Linked DNA regions of Xenopus tropicalis. The protein of the gene in region 2 interacts with the protein of the main gene of each other region in a pairwise test. Links are inferred from orthologs where the notes say so. Each region holds a gene or a part of one and is shown on either strand. Other genes may lie near its edges.

Region 1 (16,860 bases), on a different chromosome or scaffold from region 2:
CCAAAAATAAGGGCCTGCAAATCTGCACCCTTTTCGTGCTGATTTAGGCTTTGGCAGGCACTAAGAACAGGGCCTCATTGAGGCCTGTGTATGTCACCACTCACATCTAAATGATGCAAAATTTAGGGGAAATGTTGGGGATAAAAGGAGTGCCTATCCATATTAAATGCAGCTCTACTACACACAGACAATGCTGTATTTATCAGGGTGGTTGCATGACTCTAATGGAGCCAATGAAATATCTGCTAAAACAAAACTGCAAAAAGTGCATTAAAAAAAAAAGATAAAACGCAATACAATGAAGTCTATGAAGCCCAAGGGCCTATGGTTTGATGGCACTATTTAGATTTAGTATATTTGATAAAAATATACACTCTTTAAGGGAAACATTAATTTTCATTTTAGGGGTTACTTACTATCAATTTCCCTTATACTGTAGTCCGACAGAGCATTGGCTCCACTTCTCTCTGCCTGCATTTTGTAGGCAGACAGAGAGAAGCGAATCCACTCTCTTCCACAGCTCTGTGTAGCTGCACTGCTTTTGGCCTGAGTACAGCTACACAGAGCGGAGATCCACCCGAAAGACATGAAAGCAGCCATTTTTGGGCTCTGTGTAAGTGCACTAAGGTGGAAGCTGTGCCTGTCAATGCAGTTACATGGAGCTGCTGAATCTCCACCTGCCTACAAAGTGCAGGCGGAGTGAAGCAGATGCTCTGTGTGACTTTGGCCTTGACCAGAAATGCTTGGTTTAACTCCTCACAGACTCAAACAGTGGATGGGGAGACAAAACTAAGTTTCTGTTATGGATAAATAAGGGCGTAGGCTAAAATAGCTTCTACTCAAAACATTTCTCTCTCCCAATAAAGAACTGGAAAATAAATTTCAATAAAATATGACATTGTGATGGCAATGCATATTTTTGGATTAAGGCAATCACACAGAGGAATCTCTTGATGAAGTTTGTTACAGAAAAAACAAAGGAGATATTTTCTTACAGGTTTTTATTAATGTGCTATTATCAAAATGCACGTTTTCTATGTCAAGCATAAATCATATAAAAATATCTTTTTAATAAATACAGAGAGAACCTGCTCTACTGCTGCTTTTATATAGGAACCTACTAAAAAATGCCACTAAATTTAACACCGGCTCAGCCGCTGACTTTACCCTGGACCGTATTTAAGGTCAGGCAGTCATATACACACACTTTACTTGTAACCGTATAATGACAGGTCACGCATCTGACTAGAATCATTAATTGGGAAGTAATGTGGTTTCTTAAGAGAGGAAGTATGAGGTAAGTGATAGCATGCCTTATTAAGAAAGTGAATAAAATTCTATATAGAGTGTCTATAAAACTTTTGGGTTGGCGTAGATTTCTAACAGGTGAATCCAGACCCAGAAGCACACACAGTAAAAAATATATTTTTTCTTTTTTCTAAAGAGTCAGTAGGCTGTTAGAACTTAGAGAACATGGACTTTGCTCTCCACTACTACCACTGCTGCTGCTTCTGCTCAGCCTTCGGTGCGCTGTAGAACATGATTCTTGTGGACCAGGATAAGTGAATACCAAATTTGGCGTAAAAGGAGTAATGGATGGTGTCTTCATGAGTGTTGGGGTGTGAAGGGCCTCTGGCTCTAGGATTGTGTCGCTCAGCTCTATCCTGGGAAGGTTGACTTTAGGTCCCCTGGGTGACTCTTCATGTGGTTCCTTCTTAACCAGCCTGGAGGAGTCCACTTGCTGCATGTTGTGATGGGAGTCAGGAAACTTGCATATAGGCTGGTGAGCCTCAAGGATGAGTTCCAGCTTATCCTTCTGCTTCTGCAGCTCAGCAATTTCTTTCTGGAGGGATGACTTCTCTTCTTCAAGTTTGTCTGTCTCCTATTTAAAGTAAAAATGATATCAAGTATTGTATATTATGCCCACTTCTGTCACTTTAACCCCCAATTAGACCAGTAATTCAGGGATCCCCTCTTTTTTTTTATCCATGAGCAGCATTTCAATGAAAAAAGGTTGGGGAGCAACACAAGCACAAAAACTTTCCTAGTAGGTGACCAATAAGGACTCAGATTGATAATTTCGTAGCCCAATGTGGACTGGAAGAATACTAGAGGCACTGTTTATCAGTACACATGGTATTTATGCCTCCAAAACATGCCTTCAAGTCAGAAATTTAAAAATGGGCACCAACTTTGAGGCCACTGGGAGCAACATCAAAGGGGTTGGTGAGCAACATGTTGCTCACGAGCCACTGGTTGGGGATCACTGCAGTAATTCAACTACCCTATTTAACTTACTGCCTGCAGGTAATCTGTTAGCTCCTTGCGACGATTACGGCATTTTGCTGCTGCTACCTTGTTCCGCTCACGTCTCACTCGTCTTCGCTCCTCTTCCTCTGGTGACAGCTGTGAGAAAAAAAAAAAAGAGATAATAAATCTGTTACCCAATTTATGGAAGTGTTGTTATATGTGTGTAAGGGAGCTGGTTTGGCACTGCCACTTCCCACAAAATACCTTTATTATGTGTCTAAGGGGGTGGCATGAATGAATACTGCCTGCCTGCCATGCTCATGAATGAAGGGATTGGCAGTGACTGTGACCCTATGAGTCAGGCATTAATGTTTATCCCGCTCTTCAAACCATGGTTTGGCACGCACCACTAGGCTCTCTTTCCCAACCTGACTCATTCTACTGTTGGTGAGTCGCCTAATAACTGTTTCCGCTGCATGTGTAATTAGGATTTAAGTAGTGATCATGTTCTCTCAGCCTCATAATATAATTGGCAAAATACTATTGTTTTAGCCTCGGAAAGAAAACAGTTAACTTTTAAGGCTTATATTTTGGTTGGGTAAAAAGTATTATGTTTTCTATCAATTTTATTATTTCAATTCATAATAATTTTAAATGACATGTATGCTCAGCTTATTTAAAAGGGACAACAGTAAAGTAAATCAAAGTATTATTAATAAGTCGATAATGTGCATACTTACATGTTCTCCATTTCTCCTTCGCCCCATACTCAAGACTCCTCCCATGTTACGGATTACCCCATGCCGAGGGCTTTGGTATGGTGGTAAATTCAGGGGGCGTACACTTGGTTGGATCATCCAGTTAAGGTCCTGACTTGATGTGATAGCATTCAATGTTGGGATAAATTGACCCGAGGATGTGTGAACTGGATACTTCTGTAAAGGAATTTAGGAAGTTAAAGGTAAATTTGATTTATATGCATATTTGGTTGATACTTATTTGAAAAAAAAAAAATGTGTGCGTTATTATGAGTGTTCACATGGTTATGATTAACTAGTAGACACAGATATATATAATTCCATTGATTTACTGGATGAGTTATCAGAATTAACAGGGGTGCAGTTTAAAAACAGTTGATATTAGACTGAAAATGAATTTATAGTATGCAGATACTTGTCAGAATAAAGTGCTGCAGCAATTCTCTCTCTCAAGTTTTATATAAACTGAAGCTTAAAATTCCAGTCTTTAGGAAAGGAAAGTGAGTGACAAAACAATCTCCAGATTAAATTGTAGTTTTCCCCACAGAACAGAGTGGTATTTTTGAAGGATAAACTATATTCTGGTTTCAGCTAGATCACTGCAACCAATAATAATTGTACATTGTTCAAAACCGGACACTAGAACCTGAGTGCCAAAATGTAAAAAAAACAACAAAAACTGCCGCTAGGCTGTCAGTGGAAAACCAATAAAAAAAATATATTTATTTTTATAAACTACAATCCAAACCTCAGACATCTTGAGTTTTTTTTTCTAAACTCTATACTAAAGTGGCTTACTATGGCAATGAGAGCTGGATTCTTGCCTGTACTGGGTATCAAAATATAGATCATCCCTGTATAATCTAAAAAGTGATGTGGTAATGGCAGACTCTGTTAATGCCTTTAAGAGGGGCCTGGATGAGTTTTTGAACAAGCAGAATATCCAAGGCTATTGTGATACTAATATCTACAGTTAGTATTACTGGTTGTATATATAGTTTATGTATGTGAGTGTATAGATTGGTTAGTATAGGTTGTGTGCTGGGTTTACTCGGATGGGTTGAACTTGATGGACAATGGTCTTTTTTCAACCCTATGTAACTATGTAACTATGTACTGCACCAAACGTCTATACTTCCTGCATGTCAGGATTTCAGAAACAACCATTGAATTTAATACCATCCTCTTTAGCCTAATAATTAATGTGTAATGAGTATAATTTAGCCACCATTAATGCTGAGTAACAAGACCTGCTTGCCATGTTAAAGAACTGCTCACAGATGCCATTTACATTTTATACAGCGATGATGCTTGATAAAGTACATTTTCAAAGGAGGGTGTAGACTGTTTAGGACATTCTGTACCAAGCATGTCATCAGCAGAATTGACTCAGTCACAAACATATGTTACCTGCAGCTAAAATTCTTAGGTACATCTTAAAATGTATGAGCACCTACCTCAATGTTGCCTCTGACAGTAACAGAAACGAATGGAGTTATTACTGATGAAACAAAGGCGTAGGCTAAAATAGCTTCACATTTTCTGTCTGTATCAGGACTTGTCCTGGTTAGCCAAATCTAATCCTTTTATGGCAGCATGAATTGGCTGCATTGGGCGGTAAAGTCTGCATGAAAAGAGCTGTTTTGGGGCCATATGAATTTATACAGGTGACTTGTCCTAAAGCGTCAGAACAAGACATGCATGACACATGCAGTAAAACTATGTGCAAGAGACTTATAGATGGGAAAAACAAAATACAAACGAGGAAGAGTCTATTGCTGGCTCTGTGAGCAGGTATTGGCAGCATTTTCACTACTTTCTCTTCAGAAATCTCAAGAGGAACTGTATCATCCTATTTTCTATCTCCCCAACAGGTATGTCAAAACTGCAGACCTCTACTGAGGATGCTGGGAGATATAGCTAACAGAGAAAGAAAACATGACCATTTGAGATCCCTTGGTTAAGATACAAACTCTGATTATGTTGACTTTGAGGAATTTATTTGGGTATCAAAATATAGATCATCCCTGTATAATCTAAAAAGGTAGACAACAGACAACTATACATGCTCCTCTCTAAGAATTTATCAAGCCTCCCACTTATCTTTACACCAGCATGACACTGAGGTATTGTTTACACAGAGCATTCATGCTCATATTTGCATTTGAGTAGGAGTTGACATTTTACTTTCTTGGGCTTTGCCATTATCTAAATGTATCAGTAAAAGACTGCAGTGATTTGTGTGCACTGGTTGGTATTAGGGTTGCCACTTGTCTGTTTTTTCAGAAATACCAGCCAAGGTCGCGGCTGGTATTACAAATTTAGCAGAAATGTACTAGCAGGTAAATTTGTCATAACTAGTTCTCCACCCCAGCCACACCTCCGATCCGCCCACAATCCCCTCGCCCCGGGGCCCTCTCTATGCCTCAGAAGCCTGCCCTACTCATGAAGGTCTTCTGCAATCTGGCTGGTGATGCATCGACTCTGCCCCATTTGCGTCATAACCCCATCCCCCACATCACAGACACGCCACCTCGCAATCCTGCCCCCATCCCAGCCGATATTATTGTTGGCAAAAGGTGGCAACCCTAGTTGGTATTATTCTTCTGATGTCTATGGACAAGCCTTGGCTCAGTGCTCCTACTCATGGGTGCCAATGCACAATTGCAAAGAGTTCTCTGCAAGCAACGACCTACAGTTTTGTGCATTACATGATATTTGTGGATCTGCTGCTACTTTATTTTTTCTCAGGGTAGAAAAGACAATTTAAAGCATTTATGTAAGGTGGTAAATACTTAAAAACAATATTTTTAATTGATTCATAGGAAATGAGACCTAACACTTCCCCTAGTCAGTGATTAACACAAAGGAATTTTTTTTTCTAAAACAAACTATCTGCCTTATTAAAATAGTTGAAGTGATTTCTATGCTTATTTTTTTTATTTAAATTTAATTTTAATTTCTGTTAAAATCCCTTTTAGCATTAGAAGACTTCCAGTGAACTTTGTGCTGGACTAATGCAATATAAAACAGGGTAATCCCCAGCACATAAAACTGCATGATCACACCTGTCCCCCAAACTACATTAGCAATAGCAGGTATTTTTCCACTTTCACTTCTGATAGCGCAGCAGCTTGTAGCAACATATTTAGTACATGCATACCATAGATACAAGTTTTTTAATTAACCATGCTTTGGGTATTTAAAATCCGATTAAACAAATTGCTTTAATTCTATGACAGAAATAAATTTCCTGTCTTCTCTCAGTCAATATACTATAGTTCATAAAAAGGGGGTGCTTACAATACAATACCACTAAATGATGATTCACCTTTGGCATGGCATGTATGGTAGGCGTGGCGCATTGTGCGTCCTTTGAAACAAAGTCTTATGGGACGCACCAATCAGGTAGCCAAGAGTCCCTGGAAATTATTTTCAAATATTGGCAGCCATTCAGAGTCAAAAGATGATTTTTTTTCTACCAGCAGATTAAGGTGCATTTAAAAGGATAGCTTTGTAAAACAGGATTTTACAACAAAACAAAAATAAAACAAGCTAATTGTCACAGCATTGGAAAGATACTGGATAATGGGGAGACCAAGGTTTAAGAAGCCAGCCATAATGACAAAATAAAAGCACATTATATAATAAGTTATCTAGTGATTTCAACTTCTCCTGTACCCAGTAACAGCCTCATAGTGCCAATGCCTAAGCATACCACCAATACTTTACAAAGGGGGCATATATTGCCCAGATAAATATCCACAAATAACTTAATTCACTTTACTAGGTTTGGGGGAAATCAGAGTCATAGACACAACAGAAAATATGACATATGTACTTATATATATGTAACAAACACATATATGGGTGATATATATAGAGAGAATGAGAGTAAGAGAGAGAGAGATGAAGTGACATACTCCAATTGAAGCAGCATATATAGAAAAGCACACTCATTAGAGCTTAAATAGAGCAAAATAAAAGTGTATTTGCTGTACATTCCTAAGCAATGTTTCGGGATTTGTCAAAGACCATGAAAAAGTGTAGAGGTCTGAGCAACTTTTTTAAAATTATATATATACATATATTTTCCCAAAATCATTATTGTGTAGATGTTATATAATACGTCTTGTTACAGATAACTGTGTATGGATTCAGCAATAAACCTGAAGAAATGCCGACTCACCTGCTGCGCGTCCTCGGGAGGTGGGTTCAGTCTGACGCTGTGTCCCATTCCTGAAGTTCCTAAAATTGGGGAAGATCCCGAGTTCCGTAGGCCGTGGCTGCTGCACCCCGAATCTGGCTGAGGGAAGGCTCCAGTGAAGTCTCTGTACATGTTCTGGATCCTCACTACTCCTCGGTTTAACTCACTCTGACTCAGACTGCCCCCAGTCAAAGTTTATGAATGAAGATTGGCAGACTGAACTATATAAAATAGTGGGGGGGTAATTGTCAAAAGTTGTGCGAAACTGCGTTGCTGGATCCTTCGAGTACGTCAAGTACACTGTTTTTCGGATAAAAGATGTTTTAACTCTAACAGTATAATAAGTGGATATTAGACGTTTCTTGGCGCGTCTGAGTGTAAATGTTTATAAAGTATAACTCCCCCCATTAGTAATCCACAGTTGGTACAGCCTCGGAGTTACCTAAAGGCCTGTGACGTACATGCCCATATATGGTATACTTCCTCCAGCGTGAGGAAACCCCTTTGCTAGAAATGGCTGTTATTTCGTTCTGCTATTTCCAGAGTGGAAAGGAAATTATAGGTAAAACGCTGTAGCTACAGAGGCACCAAGAAAAGCAAATACTTCTGGGAAATGATGCCTGTTTGTATACCGAGGGTTAGTGTTTACGTTTTACGTTGAAATCGACACGTTTGGGTAGAATTTATGGGAAACTCTCTTATCAAGAACTGAGGGACTTTTAAGAAACAGACAGGTGTGTACCGCTCGCTTCTTATAAATGCCGATATATATATATATATAAATACCCACTAATTTATACTGCGAGTTATACAGACAGGATACCAGGAAATCTCCAGGTGGGCCCAGGTGTCAGTGGGCCCTCTCGCTTCTTTTTGCTGGAGTTGGACTGGTCCATCAGGATACTAGGATAACTCCCAGTGGGCTGCTTTATGGTCATTCCCTATTCCTGTATGAGAAAAAATAGGAACAAAGAAGTATAATAAACTATAATATAATAACTAGTATAGTAAAGAGATTAAATGAGGAATAATAGTTTAGTGGCATCTCAGTCCCACACTGTATCCAGAAAAGAACTGTTCCTTCACATGTAGAAACTGGGACTTTTATTCGATTAACTAGAAATGATTGCAATTCCTAATGATCTGTATAAAGTGAGGGGACTTCTGTTATACTGTAGGTGCGGGCTTTGTACATTACCCTCGGTGTTCTGTTATATTGATAATTATATATTTGAGTTATATATGAGTCACCCGTTTCCTAATGATACAGACAATTTAGGTGCAATTGCTTGACGTGACGTGATTGGGCTGGGCAGGTGAGTGGCTAAATATACCATCATATTCACGTTATTTGCCTGTTCTCGGCAATGCAACAGTGTAACATAAAAACTGTGGCAGGGAAAGAGTTAATTCTACACGCTTTCTGTTTCTTTCACGTTCTCAGACAGAATCATGTCTCGTCTCTTTCGTCTCCCCTCCCCCAGCCATTTTCGCCTTTCCCCTCTCTCAGGACCCCCGGGTGCCGGCTGTCTCACCCTCACGTGCTTGTCTTTCCCGTAACTTGTGACTCAGCCCCCTGTCACCTCTCCCTGCTCTCCCCCTGTCACCTCTCCCTGCTCTCCCCCTGTCACCCCTCCCTGCTTTCCCCCTTAAAGTGACAGAAACAGCCGTGGGCCAATAGGAAAGAGAGAGGGAGGGCGGGAAGGCTGGGCCGAACGTTTACTAGCACTGCTCTTCGTGTATTATGTCATATTAGATAATGTTACTGCCGGGAAATGACCGAAAGGCCACCAGGCAGATAGAATTGTTATATAAAACGGTGATATGGAGTCACAAGACACTGATATCAATTATTTATGTGGTTAATTAAAGCGGACGCGCTCAGGTAGCAGCAGCGGAAGTTAGTGTGAAAGGCAAACACACAGGGGCAGGGAGGAGTGGGACAGTCACCTAGAGTGATTCAAAGTATTGAGCAACTGGTGTCAGGTAGGAGCTGCTATATAGGCAATAATGGTTAAATGGAAGGATATTGTGAGTATCCATATATATTTATTTTATACAGGGTACTCTTAGGTGACTTGTAGTATCTTGATATTAAATAACTGGCTAAATCATTTATTATAGTACACAAGTTTTAGTAAGTCATGACACAAATCACTAAGCAATGGTTAAACTGGTGACATCAATAAGCACCGTTTAAAATGATGTAATTTATTGTCTCGTGTACATTATATTCAAATCTGTGGCAAAAAGTGTTTGGATTAAAGGTACCAGAGCAACATGTGGAGACCCCCTGTTTTCCCAGGAGTTTCCAGATTTTTGGCTCCATGTCCCGTCACTGCCTCTTTCCCGCATTTTTCTAGCTTTCCCCCTGTTTTCTAGTTTTTTTGGCAAACAATTCAGTGTGGGCATGTGCAGAAAAAATGTAGGGAGCAGTGTGCTCCAAAGGAGTGTACGCTTGTGCGGTAACATCACTTACGGTGTTTGAAAATTTGCGGCAGCATTTTGCCAAATTCCCCCGGTTTGCCAGTCATGTAAGCTCTGCCAGAGTATCTAACTAAATAATGAAGTATAGTGTGCACAATTACAAGCAGTTGCAGCAGAGTGTTTATATCTTGCGTCGTTTCTGATGACTCATTATAGTGGCCCTTTCCCAGAAACATACCATCATTCATGGTGGCTTCTATAATAATCTGCAGAGCTGTCCACATCCCCCCTATTTCTTTGGGAGTTACCCGTTCTCCCTCATCCTCTCAATTTTTCCGAAGTCTCACAAAGTCCTGCAGTGAATTTCGGGCGCACATGTGCAGTAAGCATTCATGCTGTAAATTGATGCATCTGCGCACGTGCAGGTGCAATTTTTTTGCTTCAGCTGCGATTTTGTGTGTGCATGCATGTGACATCACTTGTGGAAGTGCGTGTGACATTCGTGACGTTATTTCCGTGTATCGGGGAAAATTTTTGACGCTATGCTGCATTACCCCTGGCTACCATAGCTGTCAGGCTGACAACTTTGAATATAGCAGGGTAGATTTGAGCCCAGTTTGACACATTTCCTAAGCCCCTTTTTAAATGTTCTATTTATGAATGCCATTTGATCCCTGTTTTATCTGTATCACTTTATCTTTATCTCTACAGTAACCAATTTATTCTACACAGAATGCAAGGCTAATGGCACATGTAGGGCTTATTCTGGAGGCATATTTCCCCCTCAGTGGAGAAAGGACCGGCACCACCTGTGCTGCCTACCTTTGACTTGAATGGCAACCGGATATTACTGCTGGATTTCAGCCCAGTATGCTTTAAGGCAGGGAGTATGAGCAGTTGGTGAAACTACCAACAGAAAGTAACATAATTATGTTTAGGTGGTATTATATAGAATCGTTTCTCAAGACTGAATAAATGTTTGGTCTAGAATGTCACAAAGAGGTTAAAGGAAGACTCTAGCAGCAGCTGAAATGAATGGGAGACTGTACAATGAGAAGTGTTAGAAACTAAGATTAATAGTTCAACGCTCGTTATTCTGTGGTTTCATCTTAACCCCATTACCTCGTATAGTGGTCAGTTATTCATTCCAGCACTGGTTGCACGAGGCAGAGTAAAATTCCCCTTTTCCCTCCTGGAGCAGGAGCACATTCCATGGTGATGAGGGTCTCACATCAGTCACAAATGAGGAATCTGCTCTATCCTCTTGTGTTTTTTAATCTTCTGCCAATGTAGATGAGTAAATACAAGGCAACTGTAGATGGAAAAAGAGGTTTGGCAAAGTCCCATTAGGCCAGGCCAGGCTGTATGTACAACTCAACTCTATATGTCACTTTCTCTTTTTAGAGACCTCCTGGTGACTGATGGTTATAGTATGGATCATAATTGGAATCAATGGCATAGACTATACCTGCAAGTGTGTGTATAAACTGTACAGGTATGCAGTGGTGTTTTGGAGGATTACTTGGAGCTTGTGGGGTGAGTATTATTGGTATCAGAAATACATGGTCAATTATATTTGATTACATTTATTTTTTAATAGAATAAACTAAATCCAGCTGCCATTTTTTTCTGTAGACAACACAATGGATTAAGCAGCTGCAGATTTAGCCACATGATGTTCTATAGGCCATATGCACTACATCATTGATCCACAACCAGTGGCTCATGAACAAAATGTTGCTCACCAACTACCAGTGGCCTCAAACTCGGTGCTTATTTCTGAATTCCTGGCTTGGGAGCAAGATTTAATTGCATAAAAACCAGGTGTAATACCAAATGGAGGGTTATGTGGGCTGGTAGGTTACCTAGGGGCTACTAAATAGCCAATCACAGTCCTTTTTGGCACTGCCAGGAAAATTTTTCATGCTTGTGTTGCTCCCCAATTCCTTTTACATTTGATAGTGGTTCACAGGTAAAAAAAAATGTTTGTGGACCCTTGCACTAAATGAAGAATTTCCAACCTGCAGCCCTCTAGTTCCTATTCTTCCATGACAATGTTGGAATGTACAGGGTGCTGGGATTTGTAGTTTAAAAGCAGCTGGAGGACAGTAAGTTAAACATTTGTGTGCTAGAAAAGATTTTATATTTGTATATATGCATCCTGATAACTACTGCATTTTTTCATGTATTGTACATTCAAAATTCTCTGCATCCTAAGAAGCTTCCTGCTGTTTCCTACGAAAATAGGACTCTCTCCTCATTCCCGCCAAATCCAGCAGTTGCAAGTAACGCGCATATCCACCTGCTGCTACACGGACGGCTGACACGCTCTACATGTTAGATGAAAATGTAACATTCCTTTCTGGCTCCCTGCATTGCTGAGTGTTGAATCATTTGCTTCCTTTGTGTCATTTGTGAGTCACTTCCACAAAACGAAAGTTTTTACAAGTTTTATATTTTCAAGTGTAAGGAGTGAGGTACCCTGCCCATTAGTTCCACTCTTTACAGGGCAGGCTAATCCCACACCAGCACTGAACCCTTTTCACCAATGGCCCTTTTGAAACATTGGTGACATACGTGGGAGTATAGGGATATTTTCAGTACTCATTATCTTAAATGTGTATATTTGTAATCCCCAGAGCTGGAAAGGCCACCATTTCTTATGGGATGCTGATAATTCATAACAGAATACTCAACTTAAATAAAAACAAAGTATTAAATGAATCATTCATCCTCACAGTGGTGTACAAAAAGAGAATTCAGTTAGTTCCTCTTCTGAGCAGTTAATGAATGGGAAACGAAACAGACATTCTTTTAATTCCAGATTTATATTCTGGAATTCTTGGACCTGGCTGGGGATTTCCAGATAGTGTTTTTTCATTATTAAGAGCACCATGCCTTAAAATTGAAATATCATTATGACTTTATGTTAGCATATAATTCATCAAGTACAAGGTGCTCAACCTGCACCCGGGCCCCGGCGCTAATAGTTACGTTATTGGCTACTGCAGAATCAGAATGTTTTGTGATTATATTGTTTGGAACTGAATCTCTTTTGTTTTTAGATCAAAAATTAAAATACATTTAGGCTGATGGCAGACAAGGCATTGGGCAGATATTTTCGGCAAGTGGAAAAGTGCCTGCTGAAAATACCGCATACGCATAAAAACGCGAGACTTTGCATTCTCTTGTGTCTTTATGCGTATTTCGGCTACATGTGCCTGCAGCTGAGCATATTCCATTCATTCGTAGGAGGCGTAGGGCGGTATTTTCAGCAAGCGCTTTTCCGCTTTCCAAAAATATCCGCCCTACGCCTCGTCTGCCATCAGCCTTACTTTGTAGCTGCTCCAATGCTAACCAATAAACTCAGAAGTTTCTAAGCATCTTCACTGTCATGTTTTTTTTAAATTCATATGCTTTTATGCATGTGTGCCAATCCTGATGAAAAAATATTCAGCAGTAATAGTTACATAGTTACATAGTTACATAGTTACATAGGGTTGAAAAAAGACCATTGTCCATCAAGTTCAACCCATCCGAGTAAACCCAGCACACAACCTATACTAACCAATCTATACACTCACATACATAAACTATATATATACAACCAGTAATACTAACTGTAGATATTAGTATCACAATAGCCTTGGATATTCTGCTTGTTCAAAAACTCATCCAGGCCCCTCTTAAAGGCATTAACAGAGTCTGCCATTACCACATCACTAGGAAGGGCATTCCACAGCCTCACTGCTCTCACCGTGAAAAACCACCTACGCTGCTTCAAATGGAAGCTCTGTTCCTCTAATCTATAGGGGTGACCTCTGGTGCGCTGATTGTTTTTATGGGAAAAAAGAACATCCCCCAACTGCCTATAATCCCCTCTAATGTACTTGTACAGAGTAATCATGTCCCCTCGCAAGCGCCTCTTTTCCAGAGAAAACAACCCCAACCTCGACAGTCTAACCTCATAGCTTAAATCTTCCATCCCCTTTACCAGTTTAGTTGCACGTCTCTGCACTCTCTCCAGCTCATTAATATCCTTCTTAAGGACTGGAGCCCAAAACTGCACCGCATACTCAAGGTGAGGCCTTACCAGGGACCTATAAAGCGGCAAAAATATGTCCTCATCCCTTGAGTCAATGCCCTTTTTTATACAAGACAGCACATTATTTGCTGTAGTAGCCACAGAATGACACTGCCTGGAATTAGACAACTTATGATCTACAAAAACCCCTAGATCCTTCTCCATTAAGGATGCCCCCAACACACTACCATTCAGTAGATAGTTTGCGTTTATATTATTCCTACCAAAGTGCATAACTTTGCACTTGTCAACATTGAACCTCATTTTCCAGTTTGCTGCCCAGTTTTCCAATTTTGTCAAATCGCTCTGCAAAGCGGCAGCATCCTGCATGGAACTTATAGTTTTGCACAATTTAGTGTCATCAGCAAAAATAGAAACAGTACTCTCTATGCCCACCTCCAGGTCATTAATAAACAAGTTAAAAAGCAAAGGACCAAGGACTGACCCCTGCGGTACTCCACTAACCACACTGGCCCAATTAGAAAATGTTCCATTTACCACCACTCTTTGTACTCTATCCTTCAGCCAGTTTTCTATCCAATTACAAATATTATGTTCTAGGCCAATATTCCTCAATTTGATCATTAACCTTCTGTGAGGTACTGTATCAAACGCTTTAGCAAAATCTAAGTAGACGACATCAACTGCCATTCCAGCATCAAGGTTCCTGCTCACCTCCTCATAAAAGGCAACTAAATTAGTCTGGCAAGATCTGTTACGCATAAAACCATGCTGGCACAAACTAATAGTATTGTGAACTGCAATGTATTCAACTATCCTATCCCTTATTACCCCTTCCAGAAGCTTTCCTACTACTGATGTCAGACTAACAGGCCTATAGTTTTCAGGCTGAGAACGAGATCCCTTTTTAAATAACGGCACCACATTAGCAATCCGCCAGTCTCTCGGCACCATGCCAAACCTCAACGAATCCTGAAAAATTATGTGAAGAGGCTTGGCAATCACAGCGCTCAGCTCATTTAATACCCTGGGATGAATCCCATCCGGCCCTGGACCTTTGTTTACCTTTACATGTTCAAGTCTCTTTTGAATTTCCTCCTGAGTGACCCACGCGTCAGTAGCTAAATTACTAGCACTGGGCATATTAAAAGGGAAGCCTTCATTATCTGGCTCCTCAGATGTATAGACAGATGAAAAATAAGAGTTCAAAATTTCAGCTTTTTCCCCGTTCTCATCAACCAACGTACCTCCCCGTGATAATAAAGTTCCCACCCCTTCTTGCTTCATTTTTTTACTATTCACATAATTAAAAAATAATTTTGGATTCTTTTTACTCCTAGCTGCAATATCCCTTTCCATCTCTATTTTAGCTTGCCTGATAGCTTTTTTGCATGCTTTAGTTGCTTCCTTGTACCTGATGAAAGTTTCCGCTGTCCCAGCTAACTTGAATGCTTTAAAAGCACGTTTTTTATTACCAACCTCGACCTTAACTCTTTTATTCAGCCATAAGGGTTTTGCTTTGCGATGCCTCTCCTTGCTTACAAGGGGAATATACTGTTGTGTATACCTGCAAAGCAATGTTTTAAAGATGTTCCATTTTCCTTCTGTGTCTAACCCCATGAAAAGCCTTTCCCAGTTGACACATTGCAGAGATGCCCTTATACTGGCAAAGTCTGCACGTCTAAAATTGAGCGTTTTAGTTACTCCCTTATAGAGCTGTCTCTGCAGCATTATCTCAAAGGAGACCATGTTGTGATCACTGTTCCCCAAATGCTCACCCACACAAATGTTAGAGATAAGTTCAGTATTATTAGATATTACCAGGTCCAAAATAGACTCATTCCGAGTAGGTTCTTGAACCACCTGAAATAAAAAGTTGTCATTTAGCATATTTACAAACCTACTAGCTTTTTCTGACTTAGCCACCCCATTACTCCAGTCAATGTCCGGATAATTAAAGTCCCCCATAATAAAAACTTGACCCAATTTTGAAGCCTCTTCCATTTGCAAAAGTAGCTGGGACTCATCCCCCTCATCTATACGGGGTGGTTTATAGCATACACCAATGATCAATGATTATGTTTCCAACTGTTTTATAAACTTCAGAAATTAAGTTGTCACGTTACAGGGGTAGTTCGACCTTTAGTATTATGTAGATATTGATATTCTGAGGCAATTTGCAATTTGTCTTTATGTATTTTTTTTAATTGTATATTTTTTTGCAGCAACAATTTTAGCTTGGAATTGCAACAAATGTCTGGTTGCTAGGGTCCAATTTATCCTACCAACCATGTAGTGTTTTAATGAGAGACTGGAAGATATATAGGAGAGGGCCTGAATAGAAAGATAAATCATAAAAAGTAACAATAACATATACTTTTACAGAGCTAAAGGTTTTTGGCTGCCAGTGTCAGTGCCAAAGAAAAATGACAACCCAATGAAAGGTTGCTAAGAATAGATATTCTATAATATAGTAAAAGGAAACTTTAAAAAAAAAAATATTGGTGTGTGGGCGCCATCTCAGTGCATTGTGCCTAATTCTGAGCTTTCAGAAGGAGCCAGCGCTACACATTAGAACTGCTTTCAGGTAACCTATTGTTTCTCCTACTCCCATGTAACTGGAGGAGTCATGAGCCGGACTTTTTTTTTTCTATTGACTGATATTTTCATATTTAACACTTTAAGCAATACAGGTGTCAACTAATCTGCCATCTAGACATATTTCAAAAATTTAAAATGAACTAAGAAAACATCTGTCTGTTAAAAAACAGATTTCAATGCAGGATTTTGCTGGAGAAGCTCTATTAACTGATTATTAACTTGATGTTTTTCCATGACAGTATTTCTTTAAGGGATAGCCAAGGCAGTTACAACTTTCTTCCCAACCTGCATTCACATGAATTGAAAACCTATTGCAGATGTTGATTTTGGCATTCCAGAACTATCCCTAAATAGCAGTGTTATGGGCTGCCACATGCAACAAGCTGCTGAGAGAAAGGGTGCTGTGACTGCTGCAGTTCACAGTGAGAGGGCCCAACTGGTCAAATGCCCAGTGTGCCATAGACTTTAGAGGCTAGCACTTTATGCATTATTATCTTGCTAGAGTATATCATTCTCATCTTCTAGTTTATAATACAAAGCAGGTTATAGGCAAGGAGTGAGCAGGGATGTTA
Region 2 (15,659 bases):
ATTTACAGTCAAGTCAGAGGGAAAAATGATATCAATTTCCTTTTAATACTTTAAAAACAGGGCTAACTTTATACCTTAGATTCATGCTCTTTTACAACAATAGTGCATATCATAGGCCTTGCACACCTTTTATCTCCAGCGCTGCCCACCTTCTCTCATCCTACATTTGGTTTAGAATTTATGACTTAATGAGCTTTCTTTTTATTTTTTTGCATTGTTTTAAATTTATTTTCTAAATCCTAGCCTAAAGAAAGTAACCTTAGGGTCCTGAGAACCTTTCTCTATAGCACTATATAGCAAGCAAATAAATGTCACCTTTATCACCTTTATGCCAGACAAGTTTCATTCATTTATTTATGTGAGTGCCAAACTACACGTGCTTCCATTGTTCCTTTAGAAACAGTTACCAAAATCTGACTATACCATACATGGACATAAACAGACAGTAGGCTGATCTACTAACTCCGTTTAACCATGTGACCACAATACAGATATGGGACCTGTTATCCAGAATGCTTGTGACCTGGGGTTTTCGAGATAAGTAAGAATCTTTTTGTAATTTGTATAGACAAACTTCAAGTCTAATAAAAATCATTTGAACATTAAATATACCCATTAGGATAGATTCTATCTTAGTTGGGATCAAGCGCAAGCTACTGTTGTATTATTAGAGAGAAAAAGGAAATCATTTTTAAAAATTAGATTTGCTTTATATGCAGTGTGTGACAATGACAAGCAGCGGGGGGCAAGGGAGCAAGGGGTAGGCAGGAGATCAGCATTGTGCCCTAGGCAGTTGCCTTTTCTGCATACCCCTTGTTCCGGCTCTGTTTCTTGAAAACAGGTTTCTGGATAATGGATTCTATACCTGTATTGTAAATGAACTATGTACTATGTCCCTCTACTAATTATACATGAACTTAAGATGGTGAGAAGCCACTGCACTCTATGCCAGCCTCTGTACTTAGGTAGCATACCCCAAGTTCAGCCATAAAACCACAACCATTTTGCTACCAGAAAAAATACAACTATTGTTAGTTTATCCATACTGAAGGGATCTGTGCCCAGTGCATAATGGTGGCACATCTTAAGGGGCACATTTACTAACCCACGAACGGGCCGAATGCGTCCGATTGCGTTTTTTTCGTAATGATCGGTATTTTGCGATTTTTTCGGAAATTATCGCGACTTTTTCGTTACCAATACGATTTGCGCGAAAAAACGCGAGTTTTTCGTAGCCATTCCGAAAGTTGCGCAAAATCTGGCGATTTTTTCGCAGTGTTAAAACGTTGCGCCTTTTAAGTTTTAACGCTACGAAAAAGGCGCGACTTTTCGCGCAAGTTTTAACACTACGAAAAAATCGTCAGATTTTGCGCAACTTTCGGAATGGCTACGAAAAACTCACGTTTTTTCGCGCAAGTCGTAATGGCTACGAAAAACTTGCGTATTTTCGCGCAAATTGTTTTGGTAACGAAAAAGTCGCGATAATTTCCGAAAAGTCGTAAAGGCGCCGAAAAAATCGCAAAAAATACGAAAAAGTCGCAAAATGTTCGTTTTCCAATCGGAATTTTTCCAATTCGGATTCGAATTCGTGTCTTAGTAAATCAGCCCCTATGTGTTCATTTGGGAGAATAAATAATGGGAGGGGGGGCTTCTTAACAAACTGAGCTATGCAAGTGCACCTCAGCTGGCTACCGAGACACACACCTGAGCTTGTTGTGAATTTAACACAAAATGAAAGACATCAGGTGGGTTTTGGATAACTGGTCACTGACTACTATAAATCTATTTGCATTAATACACCAACAATAAATTTGTCATGCCGCCTTCAGTGCCAACCCAGATGGAAACCGGGGAAGTGTGTCGCCGAACTTAAAAACAGACAGTTTTACACAAGGTCTTTAAAGCATAAAGAAAATATGGTGTATTGAACCTTTCATCCTTTCTTCATTTATTCTTAAGGCATATGGTGTAAATCAGGGATTTCCAACTGAAAGAGCTTCAGCAGACTGAGGGCACTGGGAAAACCTATTTACAGCTACAGTGTTATAGGTATGGGATCTATTATCCAGAATGCTTAGGTAATTTAAATGCATTAAAGCTACTAAAACAGTTATTTTGCCATCTGTATTGAAAGTACTGTCTAATTATTACAGAGAAAAAGCAATTCCATTACACAGGAAGATTTTTCTGTTTAAAATTTGTGGGAACTGTGAATGTGTATTTCAGACCTTTCCGGAGGGTGCATTTTCTGAGTTATAGATCCTATACTTAGGGGCACATTTACTAATCCACGAATCCGAATCACGAATGGGAAAAAATCGTATTGGAAACGAAAATTTCGGAAGATCGCAAATATCACGAAAATGCTTACGAAAAAATCGTATTAGTCACGATAATATCATATTGGCGATCCGAAAATCACGAAATTTTCGTACCGAACAATTGTAAACAGCGGTAAAACCTTTCCGATTTTTTTGTACAAACGTCCGAAAAAGTCGTGCGCTGTACGAAAAAGTCGTGCGCTGTACGAAAAAGTCGTGCGCCGTACGAAAAAGTCATGCGGATGCCCGAAAAAATCGGCAAAAATACGCTCGGAGCGTTCGTGCTTTTGTAAATGTGCCCCTTAGTATTAAGGGAAAACTGTTCAAAAGGCATTTGAAGGCCACTTGTGACAATGAACAGAGGTATGTATGTATTATACTGCAGCATTTCTTACTGCATAATCCCTGTGTGCATACTCAACTCCACCAATCACAGCACTCAGTTTTTCAGTGTATTCTAACATATACATTTACACTGCCTTTGGGAGTACTGATGTAATAAGGACTGCTACGGTCTATACCCCAGATATGATACAGGATACAGACAAGCATCACGACTGCAACTGCATTCACTTTGCACATTCTGGTAGCAGCATATACTGTGCAATTTGGGTGGCAGTAGAACTACCATCAAGGACCATTAGCTACTGGGTTTTATCTGTTCTGGCCCATAAAATGACAAGAAACTGGAATGCGTGGATCCTTCTCATGCTTATTAGAATACTCTGGCTTATTAATTAATCACAAGTGATAACACTTTCAAGGAGCAATATTCTTTGGTTTATTTGGTTATGGCCACAGAATAGTACATGATTATGTTGCTCTATACATGTAAGTCAATACTTACTTTGTTAGAATTGTTGTACAGCAAAAGGTCATCACTGTGTATTTCCATGGAGCGAATAACTTAAATAATGAACAGCAAACTTCATGGTTATTTTATAAAAAGAGAATAAGTGTAAGCCAAACTGGTTACAACAGTGTCAATAACCATCTAAGCACATATATTCCAAGATTTGAAAATCAAAATGAATTACAGATTAGGCATGTCCCTGATCCACCTGACCCTACCATTCTGCATGAAGCCCTGCCTATTTTTCACAAAACCCTACCCCTTTTGGGTAAACCCTGATTTGTGTCATGCTTGCCTTCATTATTAGACCAGTAGAAGGTAAAATGGATGCTGTAGGTTACTATACCTAGAAATAATGAACATATACACTAGGTCAACAGGGTATTTAAACTGTATGGCCAAAAGTCTTTATCTAAAATAACATTCCCAGTTGGAACGCTCACTGTTGAGTTCCAAACTGTCAATGGAAACAACTGGAAAATGAAGTCATACCTTTTATGAAAGAAGCGTCAGTAAAAGAACAATTTGTAGGGTGTGTGGGATTTATGGGTGATCAGTGGTAAACACACCTAACATTGCCACGTGGAAAGCCAAGCATGACCTGCAACGGGGTATTATTAGCCACCATTGGACTCTGAAGCAATGGAAACTAAGCCTCTGAAATGATAAATGGCATTCTGATGGCCTAGGTTTGCTAGAAGCCAGGAGAACACTAGTCGACTCAACTCATAAAGAGTCTGGTGAAGGAAGAATATTGGTCTGGGGCTATTTTCCATGCTTGGGGCTAGGGCCCTTGGTTCCATTGTAAGAAAACATTAATGCTACATTGTACAATGTCATTCTTGACAACTAATAAAACAGTACCTTGTACTTGATCCCAAATAAGATATAATTAATCCTTATTGGAGGCAAAAAAATTCTGTTGGGTTTTTAATGTTTAAATGATTATAAAGTAGACTTAAGGTATGGGGATCCAAATTACAAAAGACCCCTTATCTGGAAAACCCCAGGTCCAAAGCCTTCTGGATAACAGGTCCTATACCTGTAAAAGTTTTAAAAATGGTAATTGTAATAATAATGATTCCAAGAAATTATTTTTAAAGTTGCCAACATAGCTGCCATTTTAGAAAGCTTTTAGCATTAAAGGGCTGCTTTCCTTGCAGTTTGTCAACCATTTTTTTCTACTGTCTTTTTTTTTGCTATTGTCTGCTGTACAGATGCATTAAAAAACCAAAAACTTAAAAAAAAGGATAGCTAAATACATAAATGGAAAACAAATGCACTTTCTTCTGTTTTAACCTGCATTTTCTGACATTCTTTGTATTTAGGATTTTAGGAACGCTACCTTGAATCTTAGTAGGATGCATAGTAAATGCATGTGTTCTTTGAGCAGTTACATACAGGGGACATATTACTAAAGCTGTGTTTAAAAACTACATTGTAATAATACAGGGTGCCCTTTGTATATTTTGAAAAACAAAACATATTATAAACTTAAAATTCATGCGCATATATTGTTTACAATGTTGCATTTTGTAGTGATGAAATACATTTTACAATGAAAAAAATTAATTTGTCCCTACAAAAAGAATTCTGTGAACACAAAACATTTTTGCAATTACTTTTGTCTACAAAACGGAATTCTGCAGTCGCAAAAATAATGTCACGAAACACAGACGAATTCTCTGAACACAAAGGTAAATTTGCGGTAACAAAATTATATTTGCAAATACAATGGTACACGCACAGAATGCTTTTGCATGGCAAAATGATTATTTTTTTACCAACAATTAATTTTGGAATTTACAAAATGGATACGGTTCTGGTAAAATTATTTTGTAGTCATAAAAACTATCTTGTATTCATGGAATACATTGTCAGATCACAAAATATATTAGAGCTAATTTACAAAACTGTGTGCATAGTTTGTAGCCACAATGCAAGTTCTTACCCAGCAGTTACTGCAAAAACTGTATTGTGGTAGTGTTGATACCTGCATGCAGTGTGCAGTGTTAATGATTTAATCTGCACTCATTTTAGCTTAAACAAGTTGGATCGCAGGTATAGTGCTCACTTTGGATAAACTGCAAATCCATCTGGATAATTCAGTTTACCTGCCTCCAAAATTATTTTCTATTTACAGTACAAAATTAACTCTACAAACACAATTTTGTGGTATAAAAGAAACATTTTAAAGTATACATGTTCACAATTATTTTTGTGACTACAGATTTATCCTTGTGTTCACAGGATTTTATTTGATATTTTGTACTTGCAGAAATGATTTTAGAAAAATGGGTTTGATGCTTTTATGCCAGAAAAAAAGATATATTGTGGTTAAAAAAAAAATAAATAATTTTTTTGCTGACAAAATACATTTTCTGACTACAAAATACATTTTGTGCCCACAGAATGTATATTGTGGTCATTCTGCCAGCAGAAAATTAATTTTGCGAGCTAAAGATATTTTGAAGACAGATAAAATACATTTGTAATACGTAATGATATGTTATCAAATAATGATGTTGATTATGTTGATAAGTCGGATCTAAGATAATTGACGCAAATAAACATTGCCATTAACTGTTTGTAACTATAATCCCACTGCCTGGCTTTCATTCACATGTAACAAAAACAATGGAGCTTTATTAATATGGCATGTATTGTACACCAATTATTTTTATATTTCACACAGCTTTATAAATATGTCCCATGGCTTAGGTAGAACATGTATCTGAGCTCTGAGTAAATATGCTATTACCAGAAATAGCACCAAACCTCTAAAAACCAGAGAGCTGCTCTAAAAACTGGACAGGGGGGTAAAATAAAACCTTGGATATATCCAAAAAGAAAATGAACAGCATACTTACATTATATAGTAATTATTTTATATTAATAAGTATGTGAGTTAAAGTTCATGCAGAAATTTGCCAATGGTCTTTAACCTTTAATATTAAATACTGGCCATACAAGATATATAATTATATCTTAGTCATAACAGGGTCAAGTGATACAAATGGCTTAATAATAGTCATTAAAGGGCAAAGATTGCCTGTTATTTTAGCACATTCATGAGAAATGAGATTCAGAGGCTAGTATTAAAGGAAATCTGATTATGTACATAAATACTGTGCAAATAACATGAACTACATTCAAGGTGCTTGGCCCTTCTGAATCCAACATATTTGTGTTACGACTACAGGTATAGGACTCGTTATCCAAAATGCTCGGGACCTGGGGTTTTCCGGATATGGGTCCTTCCATAATTTGGATCTTCATACTTTGTCTGCTAAAATAAACCCAATAGGATTGTTTTGCCTCCAGTAAGGATTAGTTATATCTTAGTTGGGATCAAGTACAAGGTACTGTTTTATTAATACAGAGAATAAGGAAATATGTTTAAAAATTTTGGACTATTTGATTATAATGGAATCTATGAGTTTGGAACTTTCTGGATAATGGTTTCCGGATAACGGATCCCATACCTGTACAAAAATGTGCATGTTTATATTAGCAGTGTTTCATGACAAACTTGATTTGCTCCTTTTGGATTGCAGTTGATGGCAAGCTCAGGCAGCGGTACCACTTCCACCATTTGGTAATTGCTAAAGAACAGCAAACTTATATCGTTAGCTTGTCTGTTTAGCATAAGAAACAGACAGACTCGAGCCGTGAAAATAAATATGTCAAGTTGTCACATTACTAAACTGAGAAAAATCAGGCAACAGAGGCTCCTAAAATGCATTTTGACCAATCCAACAAAAGCAAAGTTTAAAAGAACTCTGAATATAACCAAATGCAACATGCATCATTATACCTTTAGTGCATATGTTCGTACAATTTCACTTTATGTCCTTTCCACAGAGAGAAAAAAAAGTACATGGAAATTAGCACCTGGGGTATTTGAGACATTTTCACTTTTTTTTTTTGTTTTACAAGTGGTGTACTAATATATATGATTTTTATAAAGGGTATTTGTATTTCTATATTAGAAGTAGAAAGGCAAAAAAATAAGAATCAAAACAATTTAAGAAGTAAATGCTTTCTTAAAATATATATATAATATATATATAAAAACAGCCTGCATATTGTTTTGGTTTGCTGGATTAAACTAAATAGAAAACAGTGCACGCTCAGATCTGCTTCAGCTGAACTTGTGAACATGGGGACCTTAACAGGGCACTGACAAATTGAAAAGCATATTTCTTACATAATACTTTTTTATCCATATTGACTTTTCAATCAGCAGCCTCGATGTGAAGAGAAAAGAAGAGCAGAAACAAAGATCAAAGCTAGAATTTGTTCATTTCTTTGGGAACGGAAGATTTCTCTAATAAACTGAGCTCTAGAGATCCCTAACGGAAGAATAATGCCGAGCCTAGGCAAGGAGAGATGCAAAACTACAAACCAGACATGTTTGAGTATTATAAGATGCTACTATGGTAATAAAGTATCAATTCAAAATAAGCAGACTCTTTGTTTCAGGCCACTTTGTAGACTGGTAAGAAAAACAAAAATAAACAGCTATGTACATAAATGCTTTAGTTCATAAACAATTAAAATTGTACCAGAAAATCGAGAAAGCTGAAAACATTTCCCAAAGTTGCTAGCATATTAATTGCATAAATTCCTTTTTTTTAAGTAAAAAAGACACATTTTTTAATAGTAAGTATAAAAAAGGAAGGCCAAGGTCATTCAAGGACTGAAGATACTTCCAGGTTTCAAATAAAGATGAGTAAAAAGTTCATAAAAGTGGAAGATCTGATATTATACCAAACCCCCGAAGGCAGTTCTAAAGCCCAACCTTTCAGAGAATGGGATTTATGTCTGTTCTGTGATTGGCAAGCGGGTTGAGGTTGGAACTTCCAACGACATCGCTGACAGAGGAGGAAGTTGTAATTGTGTTATGCTGAATGACTTGTTGCTGTGAGCAGGCTGGGACAGGACTTTCTGGTGGGCTGTTTTCAGGGCCTGAATGAAAGAAAAGAAATATATATATATTATACATGTTTAAATACATTTGCATTGAATATTATTACAACAACTGTAACCTGACATGCTTACATCAATTACATCAAGTCCTAGCATTAAAGCGGACATAAACATTCCACAAAGCTCTCCCATTGGCACTTCCTGGCTCTCTAAAGAAGGAACCCTAAATTTAATTACACAAATTCAGGTACATCAGGTAGTTCACTGCTCTCTAGCAGTAAGAGTACAATGATATGACTTGCTTGGCCTGTAATCAAACATCAGAAGGGTGGATATAGTACTATTAAACTGTGGTCACAAAGCAGCAAGGAATCTCAATAAAGGATGGATCTACAATTTGATTAAGGGAGAACTAAATCCTATCCCCCCCAGGTTTCCCTGTGTCCTGACCTGCCATAAATTTGCAAAGTTGCGCAGCAGAGAAAGGGGTAGGGTTTACGTCTCCTTTTAGAAGCGTTGCTTTAAAACTTGCCATGAAGGGGGTTTTTGGCTACAGCTGCCAGCATATATTAATCTTTGATAATATATTGGAACATGGTCCACATTTGGGTGGAGGGACATGGCTATGGAAGGTGTGTCTCACCTTGATGGCCCACCTGCTACCCCTGTTCTACAAGGGTTCTGTCAAGGTTCCCTATGGGTTGTGCTATTTTTAAACAATTAGGTTTTTCAGCAGAATGCAATGAAACAGAAATAGGCTTTTCATCAGGAACATGGAAATAAACATTTATCCTAACAAACACAAATCCCATTGCATGGAAAATATAAAGTTGGAGGCTACGGAGATATCTTTTAGACTCAGTCAACATTATTCTTTTAAAGGTTTACAAATCTGCTAAAAGCTTGACTGAAAACACACCCCAAGACAAAATAATGTTGTATCCTGTGATCATTCAGAGAAAGGTTCCTGATGGAAGACCCAAAGGAACGCCAATTGACTTTCAGAAAAATATTATGTAGCTTTAACTTTTTTTTTTGCTCTCCCAAACAAATCTCCCTCTGAATCTCTCTCTGTAATCTTTCAATTATATCTGATAATGTAGAGAGAAAGGTCATTTCAAGTGAATGTGGTGTATCTTTAGGGAAAGGTAACTTACCATGCACTGGGCAGCTTTTGAGTAGCAGTACTCATCCTGTATAAAATGGAAAATTCATTTTTAAAATGCTTTAAGCAGCTCTCCTGCATATTTCCTTAAGAAATGTTGTTTGCAAAAATGCCAGCAATGACATCATACAATCCAGGCTGATACTGACAGCTCATTGGTAATAAAGGATATTTTCTATGAGGTATTCATATATGCTCACGCAAACAATACAATTATAAAATAAATACATATATCAATTCAGTCCAAGCAAGTCAGCTAATTGCTAGGATAAATGATTAACAAAGCTGCAAGTAGCAATGTGTTAAATAGTTGGTGGAATCTGCAACAAAATAGCTGAATAATATCTTTATGTCCAAGGATCTAGAAATAAGTTAGACAGCAATAGGTAAATTGCAAGCAGGGGGGGTTCCAAATTTCGCTTTTTCTTGCGAAAATTGTTTTAAAGCATTACACAAAAATGTAATATGCCATATGGTTTTACATATGTGTAGGCTATGGGTGTCCATTGCTTAGCAATTAATTGGAATAACAGAACCAAGACAATGGAAAATGCCATAGAAGAAGAATAAGAAGACAACATGACCTCACAATGGATACAAAACCACAAGCACAATCTAACTACATAGTTAGGGCTCTTTATTTAGCCACACACTACGGTTAGTAGCTCAGAAACAAAGCCAGCTAGTCTTGGCTTGTTATTGAGGGTGTTAGATACTCATGGTGTGCAATGTAGGGGCGCACGGTCTGTTGGTGAGCAGTTGGACACCTGTTTCTGATGTCATGCTTTGGGACATTTTTGCAAAGGGAAGCAGGAAAGCAGATTAAAGAATTAGGGGAAAACTTGAAAAGAAAAATGTGCAGTCTCAGGTTATCATTTTGCCACATTCATCAAAGAGTTTAATCCTTTCTCCATTCCTGACTGATAATTTGGTTGAACTGAAAATAATCACTCATTGAAGTTAGATTTAGCTTCACTCTGAGATAAAAGAGACTTTTTAGATTCCGCCCAGTGCATGGTTTTCCTTTGCATATATAAAGAGTAGTTTACCACACGTATATGCAAACTACCACAGGGTAGTGGCAATAACTAGCGCAGCGTATGGCAATAACGAGTACAGCTTTGGCAAATCAGTAAACTGCAGCTCTTCTGCAACGACTTCAAGTCTAGAGTTACACACTTTTGATTTATTTTAGACATGAAAATGATAAGCAGAATACATTTTTCAAATTTTCCCACTGTATTGAATTTAGATGAATAATGGCATTTTAATACAAACCCATGGAAATCAAACCAAACCAGGGTATTAACTAGATAGAGGATTCTGATTAACTCCTCCCATTCAGACTAAATAAATGGGCAGAGGGAACTTATCCACTCTTAAATATAACAGTTATACACAATATATATACAGGTATGGCATTCATTATTCAGAAACTCGTTATCTACAAAGCTCCGAATTACAGAAAGGCCATTTCCCATTGACATATAAGCAAATTATTCTAATTTTTAAAAATGATTTCCTTTTTCTCTGTAATAATAAAACAGTACCTTGTACTTGATCCCAACTAAGATATAATTACCCCTTATAACAGGCAAAACAATCCTATTGGGTTTCTTTAATGTTTAAATGATCCAAATTACAGAAGGACCCCTTATCCGGGAAACTCCTGATCCTGAGCATTCTAGATAACAGGTCCCATACTTGTATTATATTTATTCAACAAATTTGGACACAGTTGTTGATGATTTTTACTCATTCATCGCTGGTGCCTTTTGATCTCGGCACAAGAAATGTTGCCAGTACATGAAGTCCAGTTAGATCAAAAGTTAGAACACAATGGCCCACATTTAAAGGGCTAAAGAGATAAGGCTGATCAATACTATTGACTAGAATTGAAAACTAGTGACCAAAATTTTGGGTAGGGATCTGTGGCAAAATTTGATCATTTTTGCCCAAAAGGCCTGTAGACCCCAAAGTACTTTTTGTGAAAAAAGTCACCTTTAAAAGATGCCCATAGACTCCAATGGATTCAGAAAACGTCTCTGAGAAACCGCCCATTGGCTTGAATGTGTTTCGCAAATTTTACAGCTATGAAAATTTATTGCTCATTGCTAATGAATACAGTTGCTTGGAATCTCAAAGCACTCGTGCCACTGGGGCAACTGAAAGTGCTACAAGTAACACTAGGCCTGTCAATATAACCTGCAGTATGCAAAGGGTAAATTGAGGCCTAAAGGCTGCTGGGAGTATTTGTATGGCTGTTTATGGAATTTTTGCAGCCAGTTGGCAGAGGTCATCTAAACACCATGTAGAGTTTCTTAAGAAAGAAAGCTGCATCTTTTAGTTGCATATTAAAGGGGTGAGTATTGTGGAAATGTAAATGTTTGCCGTTACCAGGAAGCCTCCTGTAACTAGGTACTGGCGACCTTAACGGCAAGACACTCAGTTAAGATGAAGGTGTAAAGAAGAAAAGATGGCATTCAGAACTTACTCAGGTATCCTTGTGACTCTTTTTGCATGGCAGTTATTGGACAGTCTTTATGCGTTAACAATAATTGTTTCAGTTGTGCTACCTCGTTTTTCAACATTGAAACCTCATTCTGGAAAAAAATGTGGCATTTTAAATACAAGCATATAACAAGAGCAAAAGATCATAAAATTATAAAAATCACAAAATCAAAGTCAAAATGGACTTTAAAGATACAGAAAACCTTGAAACATCTGTCTAATTAACTACACTTTTCTTGGTGAGTTGTGCTTAGAGGGGGCAATACCTATGTTACACAGCAGAATGGAGTCTGCGCATCCCAACCACTGGCTTAGGGCCCATCATTCATATTTTACAGCAGAATTGACAAGGAGAGTCAGTAACAGGGAACAGGGTCGGACTGGGGGGTGCAGGGCCCACCCAGGCTCCCGCCCCAGGGGCCCTGCAGGTGCCCCAGCCGTGTCCGTCCCCTAACCCCCCCCCAGGGGCCCCCCTAACCCCCCCGCAGGGCCCCCGCCTGACGTCCTCCCCGAGCGCGTATAAACTGAACATGTCGGGGAGGAACAGTCAGTAGGGGGAGCGCCGGCAAAGGTCGGACTGGGCCGCTGGGGCCCACTAGGGCCGGGGCCCACCGGGATTTTTCCCGGTGTCCCGGCGGCCCAGTCCGACCCTGACAGGGAAAGCCAATATCACATAGATAATAGTCACCTCTAATGGGGTACAGAAGCTAAATATTATATTTAACATATAATAACATAGTTACACTGAATTTCATTAAAAACATCTGTCTAATTAACTACACTTTTCCAATTATTTTAAAATTTGATTGTAAATGTAATTGGCATTGGATATTAATGCATAGTAAATACACATTTTTAGTGATTTTAAAGCTTTTTTCTAAATGTAACAGTATCTAAATCCCATAAAGAGTGTTGGCTGGAAGGGAGCAGACTATATGCAACATGTATTCAGAACCAGCAGTGCAGGTAACAGGAACATTACTAGTACTAAGTACTAAAACCCTGCAAGAGTTCCCAAACTCAAATACCACTTTGTGCAGATTGGTTTTTTTTTTTTAACAAAAACATAAGAAGCTTGGCAGGTTTTAGGTGCAGAGATTTTAATTTTTTGTCAGGAAAAGCGTGATATTGGAATGAAGACACAACACAATAGTTTGGGAGTTTGGGAACTCTTGCAGGAGTTTAGTACCCGAATGCTTGAGTGTTCCTCAGCCCCTTCATAAACCGCCCATATAAACAGATAGAAACAGATAAAGTTGTAAGAGACTATTCCCTTTGACTTCTTTAGAAACTTACCAACTTTTACTTGCTGGATTTTTCTGACAACTTTTTGCTTCATTTTTTTCTTTTATAAATTCTGACTATCCAAGGGTTCAGAAAATACTTATAAAAATATTCCCTTTTTGCCACATTTCTTCTCAAATAGAGAAAAAAACAAACTAAATTTGAATAAAATCCCCTCTTAGGGGCACATTTACTATGGGTCGAATCCGAGTCCGAATGGAAAAAATTCGAATTGGAAACGAACGTTTTGCGACTTTTTCGTATTTTTTAAGATTTTTTCGGCGCCTTTACGACTTTTCGGAAATTATCGTGACTTTTTCGTTACCAATACGATTTGCGCGAAAAAACGCAAGTTTTTCGTAGCCATTCCGAAAGTTGCGATTTTTTCGTAGCGTTAAAACTTGCGCGAAAAGTTGCGCTTTTTTCGTAGCGTTAAAACTTAAAAGGCGCGACGTTTCGCGCAAGTTTTAACACTACGAAAAAATCTCAACTTTTTGTGCAAGTTTTAACGCTAGGAAAAAATCGCAACTTTCGGAATGGCTACGAAAAACTCGCGTTTTTCCGCAAAAATCGTATTGGTAACGAAAAAGTCGCGATAATTTTCCGAAAAAATCGCAAAATACCGATCATTACGAAAAAAACGCAATCGGACGCATTCGGCCCGTTCGTGGGTTAGTAAATGTGCCCCTTAGCGTCTTTTCCTAATGGAAACATCTTGTAAAAATGCTTATATTTCTGGACTATTCACCCTTAAAGTTTTCATTATTCTGTTAAAGGGAAAATATGCTCTATTTCTAAGACAGGATTTATTTCACTTCCCATTGATGCTTTCTAAAAGTTATTTTTATGCACTGACTATATGTAACTGTCTTAATATGTGTCATACTGAAACTGAACTCCCAGTGGCCAAATGCATATGAGGGATTAGGAAAATGTATTGAGTTGAGTTCCACATATGAGGTGATGTGTGGAAAAACAGGTCAGTGTAAGAGAAAAAAAGTCCATTAAAATCCCATTCTTATAGAGGATGTCCACTAAAACAAACATTTTTTTCCCAATTAAAAGAAAAGCACATTTTGCAATAGAGGCTTGTGTAGCTACAGGTTGTGCTCTTCACACTTAACAAGAAATATTCAGGTTCTGATTTCCCTATTTAACCTTTTTGTAAATACTGACAGGGGAAACCCTTTAATGAGGTTTTTTTCTCTAAATCTGGTTCCTGATACTGGATAGTAACCTCTTGAGGATACAATAAATAAGTGAAATCTTGTTAAGGCTTCTTACTAACAACAATTGTGAAAATCCATCGATCTGTGTGTCTTTTAAAATGAAGGCATTTATGCCATTTATGTAAATGTTGTACGTTACTGTGCATTGTTACTGACATGGGAGGGACCTATTTATTAGCGCAAGATTTCATATAATAATGTTATTATTAGCGGATATATCAGGCCCTGCTACATGGATAATACAAATATCATTTGAAATAGCACTTCCTGTACCCAGTAACTAATGTATTTTACTTAATGCTTCTAGAAAAATAAAACCATTCTTAGAAAGTATTTTACCATCGTGCAAATGTTCCCCTGTGCTGTTAGATTTAGAGAACAAGATACTAATATACATAATAATTATTAGAATTCATGTAATCAGTACTACATACTTTGACAGGCATTGCTTTTTTAACTGTATTTTTTAAAGGGACAGCTAAAAACTGCACTATAATATTTAGCTTTTATTAAATATATCTATAATATATATTGGAAATAACAACAACAACAACAATAATAATTATTTAGTTATGTTAAATGTAAGAAAATGACTGCCAATCATTTTTATATTCATTTTTTAAATAATTCTATAATGTATTAGGATAACAGCAACAGATTTCTGCACACATTTGAATAATGTCTATTTAAATGAAAACAATTTTTTTTAAAATTACTAAGAATTACCTTTATTCCTATATGAGCCATATCATTTTAAATTACCATTTTTTTATCCAATATTTTTTTTAATATTATTTTTTAAGAATTTAGAAAAACTTTTCCTTTTTCTAAAAGAGACTTTAGTAAAAAAAAAAAAAAATCACACAAACCAATAACTATAGATATATATGAATGTAACTTCAGCTTGTGATGTAAAGAACAGATATTGAGCTTTTTGTGGCAGTGAGAAATAATTTGTAATCAATTACAATACAGCTAAAGGTTATTTATTATTGTTTAATAATGAACATATTTTCAGAAAATTGCCCTATTAAAACTTTCCATGAGGTTAATAAAATGGTTTAATGTAACTTAATATTTTAATACAGGTTTTAATAACATTTAATAAAACGCAAATGTACCTTGTTTAAAAAAAAAAAAAAAGTGTAGATTTCTTTAAAAGAAATCTTTATTAGGCCTGGAGGTTTTCAGAGAGTTAGTTCTGGGGTTGTTCAGCATGAGTTGTTTTTATAAGAAGGACCTCAATCATTACCAACTGTTGATTATGTCTGTGTTTTCATTATTAATCTAATGTGTCTTGCTGTGCAAGCGGGTTGTGTATGATCAAGCTGTTCAGAAAATGCCCTGGCAGTAAACAGTGCTTC

The links.
Region 1: the proteins of creb5 (region 2) and fosl1 interact in binary tests that used the Homo sapiens proteins (3 or more experiments, as listed by UniProt). The two-hybrid records come from large-scale screens. The link is inferred for Xenopus tropicalis from reciprocal best matches to the Homo sapiens genes CREB5 and FOSL1.

What each region holds. Positions count from the first base shown.
Region 1 is NC_030680.2:37,707,603-37,724,462, reverse strand, and holds fosl1 (fos-related antigen 1), read right to left. Parts: upstream 7,572-16,860; 5' UTR 7,348-7,571; coding exon 7,198-7,347; intron 3,186-7,197; coding exon 2,991-3,185; intron 2,407-2,990; coding exon 2,299-2,406; intron 1,883-2,298; coding exon 1,439-1,882; 3' UTR 985-1,438; downstream 1-984.
Region 2 is NC_030682.2:43,121,762-43,137,420, reverse strand, and holds the end of creb5 (cyclic AMP-responsive element-binding protein 5), read right to left. Parts: intron 11,875-15,659; coding exon 11,766-11,874; intron 9,300-11,765; coding exon of another isoform or gene 9,295-9,299; exon of another isoform or gene 9,264-9,294; intron 8,146-9,263; coding exon 7,982-8,145; 3' UTR 6,596-7,981; downstream 1-6,595. UniProt on the Homo sapiens protein: Binds to the cAMP response element and activates transcription.